Linked DNA regions of Xenopus tropicalis. The protein of the gene in region 1 interacts with the protein of each later gene in a biochemical or structural test. Links are inferred from orthologs where the notes say so. Each region holds a gene or a part of one and is shown in the gene's direction. Other genes may lie near its edges.

What was found. The genes of interacting proteins can lie anywhere in the genome.
Region 2: the proteins of irak1 (region 1) and irf7 form a complex in vitro, tested with the Homo sapiens proteins (2 studies listed by BioGRID, with this or other methods). The link is inferred for Xenopus tropicalis from reciprocal best matches to the Homo sapiens genes IRAK1 and IRF7.

What each region holds. Positions count from the first base shown.
Region 1 is NC_030684.2:32,188,416-32,192,065, reverse strand, and holds part of irak1 (interleukin-1 receptor-associated kinase 1), read left to right. Parts: intron 1-824; coding exon 825-998; intron 999-1,875; coding exon 1,876-2,031; intron 2,032-2,505; coding exon 2,506-2,627; intron 2,628-3,650.
Region 2 is NC_030680.2:34,535,097-34,539,509, reverse strand, and holds the start of irf7 (interferon regulatory factor 7), read left to right. Parts: upstream 1-1,537; 5' UTR 1,538-1,607; intron 1,608-4,413.

The sequences.
Region 1 (3,650 bases):
GTATGTCTTTTTTTTGACCTAACTTACTATGTTACATTAAATGAGAGCGTTTATGTAATTATTAGCTAAAACAAGTATAAAGTATGAGAGTCTCAGAAAGTGGAGGCAATGCTGTTGGGAGTAAATCTTTGGAAAAGTGGGGGCAATTGTTTATAATCGCTAACCTCAGGCTGGCCTCTCCTTTGTTGAATAATGCATTTAGCCCTGTGTTCAGTTCTTATAAGTGCCGCTATCTTGCCTCCTGTCTCAGCACCCTTGCAACTGCCCTGGGTGGGGGGTGAGGAGGTTATAGATTGCCAGTAGTGATGAGCACATTTTTTCAGCAGGCATAGATTCTCATGGAAATTCTGCATTTGGCCATTGACCAATTTTTTTTTGTGAAACTGGGGCAAAATTTTGCCACAAAAAAAAGTCACTGAGACAAAATTGCTGGTGCCTGGTTGCAGGTCCAAAAAGTGTTGAATATACTGGAGGAAGGGTCAGCACTCACAGGACTTTTTGTATAAGACCTGCAAGTGCTGACTCTTCCTCCAGTATATATATATGTAAGTCCTCAGAACAGCACCTCACTTCAATCACGCTACAGTGTAGCTGCCCTCGTGCGCGGAAATATAATATACATATAAAAATAAATCACAGCCAGCACCAAGAATTGTGTAGTTCAACAACTTCATGTATTATTATTGCATGTATACAATAATTGTTGTACATGCAATTTTAATACACAAAGTTGTTGAACTACAAGACCCTTGGTGCTGGCTGCGATTTATATATTTATTAGGCTTTTGTTTCACTTCTTTATCTCCTTTTCCTTTCCACTCCAGCTTCCATGATCATTCCAGACATGACTGAACTCCGGCTCCTGGAGCAGCAGGGATCTCGCTCTCGCACCGAGGAAGTCGTGTGGGCGTGGAGTAATAGAAATGCAGTGGTTGGGGAACTGCTGTCTATCCTCAGATCATTAAACCTGTTACGGGCCCTTGATGTCTTTGAATCCTGTGAGTCCTTATTTAGTATGTATGTATATTTTATTCGTATAGCACTACTTGTGTACGCCGCACTGTACATCAGTAATCATTCTATAATGCACAAAAGCCATGAATATCCTGCAAATTATGCTTACTGATGTCATTTCTCTCACATGACTTACTGAAACTTGTGTATTAGAATAAATATTATACCCAATGAGATATCAGAAGTCACCTCGAGTTCCATACCCTGTATAAAAGCACCTGGCTTTGGCCTTGTGCCTTTATATGGTCATGGAAGAGCTCAGCGACTTATAATATTTATAATTTTATAACATGTGCTTCATTATTCATTATATAAATGTGACCTCTTTAGCCATTCCATCAGTAATACAGAATCATATAGACACAGACCATAGATTATAAAAAAAAAACACACACCGTTTCCTATGAGGGTTTAGGAAGTGCTAGAAGCAGAGTTTGCCCAAGACCCGTTATCCATTGTTGGTAGCAATCGGATGCTTTCTTGTAACTTCCCAAGACAAAAGGCAAATGCTGTTTTGCTACTTTGAGTTACAGGACAACATACTTATTATGACATAAACTCTCAGTCTTTTATTTTGGGGTATGACATTACAGTCTGATAGAGCCCTAAGGGGACATTTTACCACCACAGCCAGTTGGACATAGAACCCCCATTCATTTAAGGTACCCTGCGTCAATGGGCACAGCACTTGATCCCTATATAGCTGCATGAGACAAGGGATTATTTGCATGGCTTCATATTACCAACCTTATATGACCCTAGCTACTTGGAGTAACAATTTTGTTTTTTTATAGAATTGTAGAAATACTGCTTGTTACTTCAACTGTGTAATCTAATGTACTTTTTTGTTCTTTGCTTTAGGGAGATCAAGATACGTGCCAGAGAGTACACAGAACTTCTCTCAGGCAAACCCTTTGCCTCCTCCATATCCGTATCCAGGCCCTGAAAGCGCACCCTATTTCCAGAAGCCCCAGACAAAAACTGACAGCCTACAGACACAGGCTACTAATCCCTCAGGTATCTTCTCAGTATAAAGCTGGCCATACACGTGGCGATCTCACGATGTTTCGTACGACCGTCGGTCGCACGAAACATCGTCAGATCCGCCACACACCATTCAGGGCTGAATCGGCAGGTAAGGAGGTAGAAACAATAGGATTTCTACCTCCTTCTGCCGATTCAGCTCTGAAGGGAGAATTTTGGTCAGGCGCCTTCTATGGCGCCCGATCAAAATTTTCTAACTTGGCCGATCGGCGAGCCGACCGATTTCAGCAGCTTCCTGCGATATCGGTCGGCTCGCTGACATGCCATACACGCACCGATTATCGTACGAAACGAGGTTTCGTACGATAATATCGGTGCGTGTATGGCCACCTTAACACTTTGTGGCTTTGTCAGTAACTGAGATGTGTGCTCTCTTTGTGTCCTTTCATTTTATATCCAACAACATACACTTTACGGCACTAACTCATTTTTCCTTTGCTGCCCTAGACCTACCTCAGCAATTGCCTCTTCCCGGGCCCCCTCCAAAAGCATTTATCTGCTCTTCCCACAGCGCCAGCACAGGGGGCAGCAGTGATTGCTCTGGCAGCCAAATCCATTCTTCTGTGCAGGTACAGTGTCTTATTTAAAGGGGTTGTAAAGTCAAAAACTAGAAGCCTGGTCCAAGGTTCTCCATAAAAGAACAAACCAATTTCCAACATACATTCATTAAAAGTTCTGCACTATTGAAAAAGCTAAAAAAAAAAAAACTATATTTATCAAAAAATTTTATGGAATTTTCAATTAATTTTCATTATACATTCCAGTGTGTGCTTCCCCTCAGATCAGATTGCAGATTCCTCAGCATCAAACCACTTAGTCTGTAAGCAATTACTGGGGCATGTGGGGTTTCCTGCTGCTGGGCTGTTTGTATATTATTTGAGGCACAGGGAAAGTACAGGACTTTCATGGCTGTGAGCTGATTATTGGTTCCTACAGCAGCTTATAGCAAGCTTGTATACATTGCTTAGGTCAGGGTTAGCTGTAATAGTGGTGTTCATGGAGTGTGAACAGGCCGTGCCTACGTTGCATGTCAAATGTGTAGCCACATGTGACTCATTAGATGTCATTTTGTAACTGCCCTGTTCCGTCTGCACTTTTAAATGACACAGTTAGGGAACAAGTAGAGTGCAGGAGTAGGGACATCTATATGCTTCCCCCCTTCCCCATACAGCACTGACCAATGCAGTCTGCTCTGAATCCTAGGGGAAGGTGGCAGATCTCTGTGCTTTAAATACTGCAGGGACCTGTGGCAGTACAAGTAAGGCAGAAAGCAGAGGGAATAGTGCAGAAAAATGGCCCATTTTTTTTTTTTTTTTTGCACTTCTGCATTCTGCATTTTAAATGTCCCCTAGTGACTCCCAGCTTTAAAGAATAAGTAAACTTTAAAAAAAAGTAAATGTAAAATCGCTCAAGGTTCTTTTCTAAGCACTTCTGTGATTTACATTCATTATTTTATTCAGTTTCACAGCTATTTTTAAAAAATTTTATCCGCCACCTGCTGGCCACTTCCTGTAACTGTACCGTCAGATATCTTTCAGAAGGAAAACAGAGAAGTGTTCTGATGTTGCTCTGCTCAGGAAGGAAATGGGAAT
Region 2 (4,413 bases), on another chromosome or scaffold:
CTCTGTACAGGCTATGAGCAAACTTAGGGGGCTGCTCCTGCTGAATTGTGCTGCTTTCTAAGTGGCAAGGGGAAGTACTGCACAAGGTAGAACATTTAAACTTATGTCATTGCTCCCCTTTCCCTCCTGCTGGATAGTCAGCAGAGCTTTGTGAGATTATACCAGTGATCCCCAATTAGTGGCTCAGGGGCAACAAGTTGCTCCCAGTGACCTCAAAGTAGGTGCCATTTTTACATTTCTGGCTTGGAGGCAAGTTTGGAAGCACAGAGACAGTTTTACTCAAATCAGAGCCTCCCGCAGGCATGCAGTCCACATGGGGCTACCCAATAGCCCATGACAGTCCATATTTGGCATCCCCAATAAAACCTTTTCATGATTGTGTAGCTCCCCAACATTTTTTATATCTGAGTTTGGCTCATGAGTAAAAAAGGTTGAGGATCCCTACTGATTACACATGTTTTCTTTTGTAGTTTCATGCTCATCTTTTTCTTTCACTAATCCACAGGGACCCTTTATTAATGAGGTGCTAAATTGCTCCTGTCCCTTTCTACATATTACATGTACATATTCTACAAATTTTCTTGTTTATCAATACTCTTCCCTTCTCCTTTGCACTGTTGTGTTTATTCTGCTGTAGTTTCTAAAGCTGGCCATACACGCACCGATAATATCGTACGAAACCCCGTTTCGTACGATATTCGGTGCGTGTATGGCAAGTCGGTGAGTTGACCGATATTGCAGGAGGCTGCTGATATCGGTCGACTCGCCGATCGGGCCGGTTTAAAGATTTTGATCGGACGCCATAGAATGCGCCTGAGCAAAATCAGTCTTTGGGGCTGAATCGGCAGAAGGAGGTAGAAATCCTATTGTTTCTACCTCCTTATCTGCCATTTCAGTCCTGAACGGTTAGTGGCAGGTTGTACGATCTTTCATGCGACTGATGGTCGCACGAAAGATCTAAAATCGCCACGTGTGGCCACCTTAACTCACATTATCTGTTTCCTCCCCATTTTGATTTCTTCTCTACTAGTTTTCTGTTCTCTCTTTTTTCTGCATTCTGTGCTTTTCTTCTTTTCCTCTCAGAAGTTGTTTTCCTGCTCTCCTTCCCCCTCTACATTTCTCTTTCTCCCCTTGCAGTATTCTTCTTAACATTCAAGGAAAAAAAAAAGCTGTGCACAGAATGCTATTTAAATTTTAACTGTGTTAAGCTTAGCTTAATTAATCTACTAGAATTAGTTAGCTGCTCTGTGGGAAACGGCCCCGCCCCCTCCCCTCTCAGTTCCCATGTCTGTGGGTGACGGGGGGTAAATGTTCCTCAGTTCTTCAATGGTGGGGGGTCCCCACTGGCACATGGCCCAATTGGATCCAATCGCCCTGGGACCGTCCCTGGTGTCACATGACTTCTAGGAAAAGGCGGGCTGCTTGGTATCACACACAGACCTCTCTCGGTGTGCAGTGTGTATCATAGCTTCCACGGACATTCCCTGGGACACTGTGATTGGTTTTTCATTGAAACGTCAGTGGTGGGCGGGGCTAGCTTAGTATGTAGGGACAGGACTAGAGCCTTATGACTGGTAGAGAGCTTGGAGCGGAGTTGCTTCACTAAGGTAAAATAACACAAGTGGCTTTGCGCTCGGGCAGTTAGTGAGGGGTCATTAGTTGTTGTCACATAGCTGAGCCGGGATTACCTGGTGCATCTATATGGCTGCAATAGCGTATTTTACTTTATTTATTGCCTTGCCTTACACAATAACGACATATACTTTGACTTATGAAAGGGCTGTTGGTTCTGTAGTTCTGTCTGAGTCCTTTTTTACTTCCCAGCTGTTAAAGGACAACTACACCCTCGAACTATTTGCATAGTGAAAGAAAAAGCACTTTTTAGATGGAGATACTAATGCATTTGAGTAATTTTGTCGTGCAGAGATGTGGGGCTTGCACATAAATGCAGTTATGGAGGGCATAGCCTTACAGGAGAAGCAGCTATCGGAATTGTTTTGCACTTTTATCTTGTACTAATGTAAAAATGTTTTTCCAGTCGACCTGCAGTTTAGCCAGTGATTAGGTGCCACCTAGAGGCATAAATGGGGATTGATAGCCTCGCTGCTAAACCTTATCAATTATTGGTCATTTCTTGTCACGTACACACACTTGTGCAGGTATGGGACCTCTTTTCCAAAATGCTCAGAAATACAGAAATGTCAGTTTCCATTATTTTCTGATTAATTTTGTGCTCTGTAATAACACAGAACCTTGTACTCGATGGTAACTAAGCTGCATGAATCCATATTGGTGCAGCCAGCCTTTATTATTGATTTGTTTGTAAGCATTTAGTCACCTTTAGGAATGAAGCTTCAAATTTGGGAAAGCCCAGGTCTCAAGCATTCTGAATAATAGGTACTATACCTGCAATGGTAGTGTAAGTGACACTGTTTTAATGAATGTACCTGTAGTTTGTCAAACTAACATTTAAAGTCTCAAGACCAGGGATCCCCAAACTCTTTTACTCGTTGGGCCACACTCAGAGTTGGGGAGCCACACAAATTAGTTCTTTGGGGATTCCAAATAAGACCTGTGATTGGCTATTTGGTAGCCCCTATGTGCACTGCTGGCCTGTTTTGAGTAAGGCTGATGCCACACTTGGCGTAGGGCTGATTTTTTCTGCAAACGGAAAAACGCTTGCCGAAAATCAGCCCTGCGCCTTCTACTTGTGCCTGCACCCGAATGAATGGAATACGCTCGGGTGCAGGCACATGTAGCCGATATACGCATGAAAACGTGAGACTTTGCATTCTCGCGCGTTTTCATGCGTATATCGGCTACATGTGCCTGCACCCGAGCGTATTCCATTCATTCGAGTGCAGGCACAAGTAGCAGGCGTAGGGCTGAATTTTCGGCAAGCGTTTTACCGCTTGCCGAAAAAATCAGCCCTACGCCATGTGTGGCATCAGCCTAAAGCTCTATAAAAAAAGTTTCTATGCTTCCAAAACTTGCCTCCAAGCCAGAAATGTTAAAATGGGCACCTACTTTTCTGCCACTGGGAGCAACATTAAAGGGGGTGACAAGCAACATGTTGTTCACGAGCCACTGGTTGGGGATCACTGCTCTAGACTAAATATGAATATTTCTCTACTAAAGGTTTATATGATTTGAAACTCTAGCCTTGGCAGGCAGGGGAAACAGTGTAGCAGGCACATAATGCTCAATATGCACTGTTTGAGTAAACATTGGCAGTCTATATGTGATTTTTATCTGACCAAATACATCCTGTGCCATGAATTATGTCACTGTGATGTTTGCATGTAAATCTGAGTCAGTGCTTATGGAGGAAATGCCATCACAAAGCACACAGCATGCTACTGCCTGTAGGCGTTTGTTATTATTCAGTATGTTGTAAATCAGTTGCACCATAGAGATTTTGTTTTAGAACTGGCTGCCATCTGTACCTAGTGGCAGATTGGAAATTTGCTACTAGGTGCAAGCGAGGTGCTGTTGGGCACAAACCCTGCCCTTACCATCTGCTGTACAGTGCTCCATTCTGCTGCCATCATTCTCAGCATTCAATGGCATACAAATTAGAGAATGAGTAGGGGTGGCAGAGAACACCAATACACCCTCCTCTCACCCCCTGCTGTTGAACATAGGCAGCAGGGTATTCTTGGGGCACACGCAGGTCTGTATGTTCCATTTTGGAAATGCGTGGCATCGCAAGTTGCAAAGTGATTTAAACATGGCCCCCAGTGTTTAGTAGGCCTTTTATATCAAGCTGGAACAACTATCCCTAAAGAGAGAAGAGGGCTGCAACACCATCCCTTAGCTGCCTACAATGCCTTTTATATCTTTACCCCAGTGGTTTTATAACAATTCACATTTAGTCATTTAACTAACAAAAGGAGCACCTGTCTGAATTGCTTTAACTGGATCTTACTCGCACACCTCAGTAAGGTTCAGTTTATGCCTGAAGAAGTTCAGCTGAACCACTGTGTGTGGTGTGGCTACCAGAGCCTTTACTCCGGAAGGGGTAAACAATACTATTATTTGTCAGAAAACTGTATTGTAGATGCTCTGCCCCCCCTGCACTGTGCATATAATGCATGTGCCCTAACTTACTCATTGTGTAATTGATCCTTCGTCATACATATATGTATAACGAACAAGCAGGGGCAGTTGCTCTTTATGCACATGTGTGCCCCAACATAGTTGCCAAGGGGTGGGTGATGTCCGTCTTAAGTATGGTTTTCTCTCGTATTAATATTCTATATAGATAGGGCCTGTAAGGAAGTGCTGTAACAATTATCTTTAGTACAAAGGGTTATTTAGCAGCTGTTATTTCGGCATATTAAAAGGTAAATGGTTCATTGCATTGTTGTTGTTGTCACAGGCCTCCTTACAAACAGCTATTTGCAGATATGT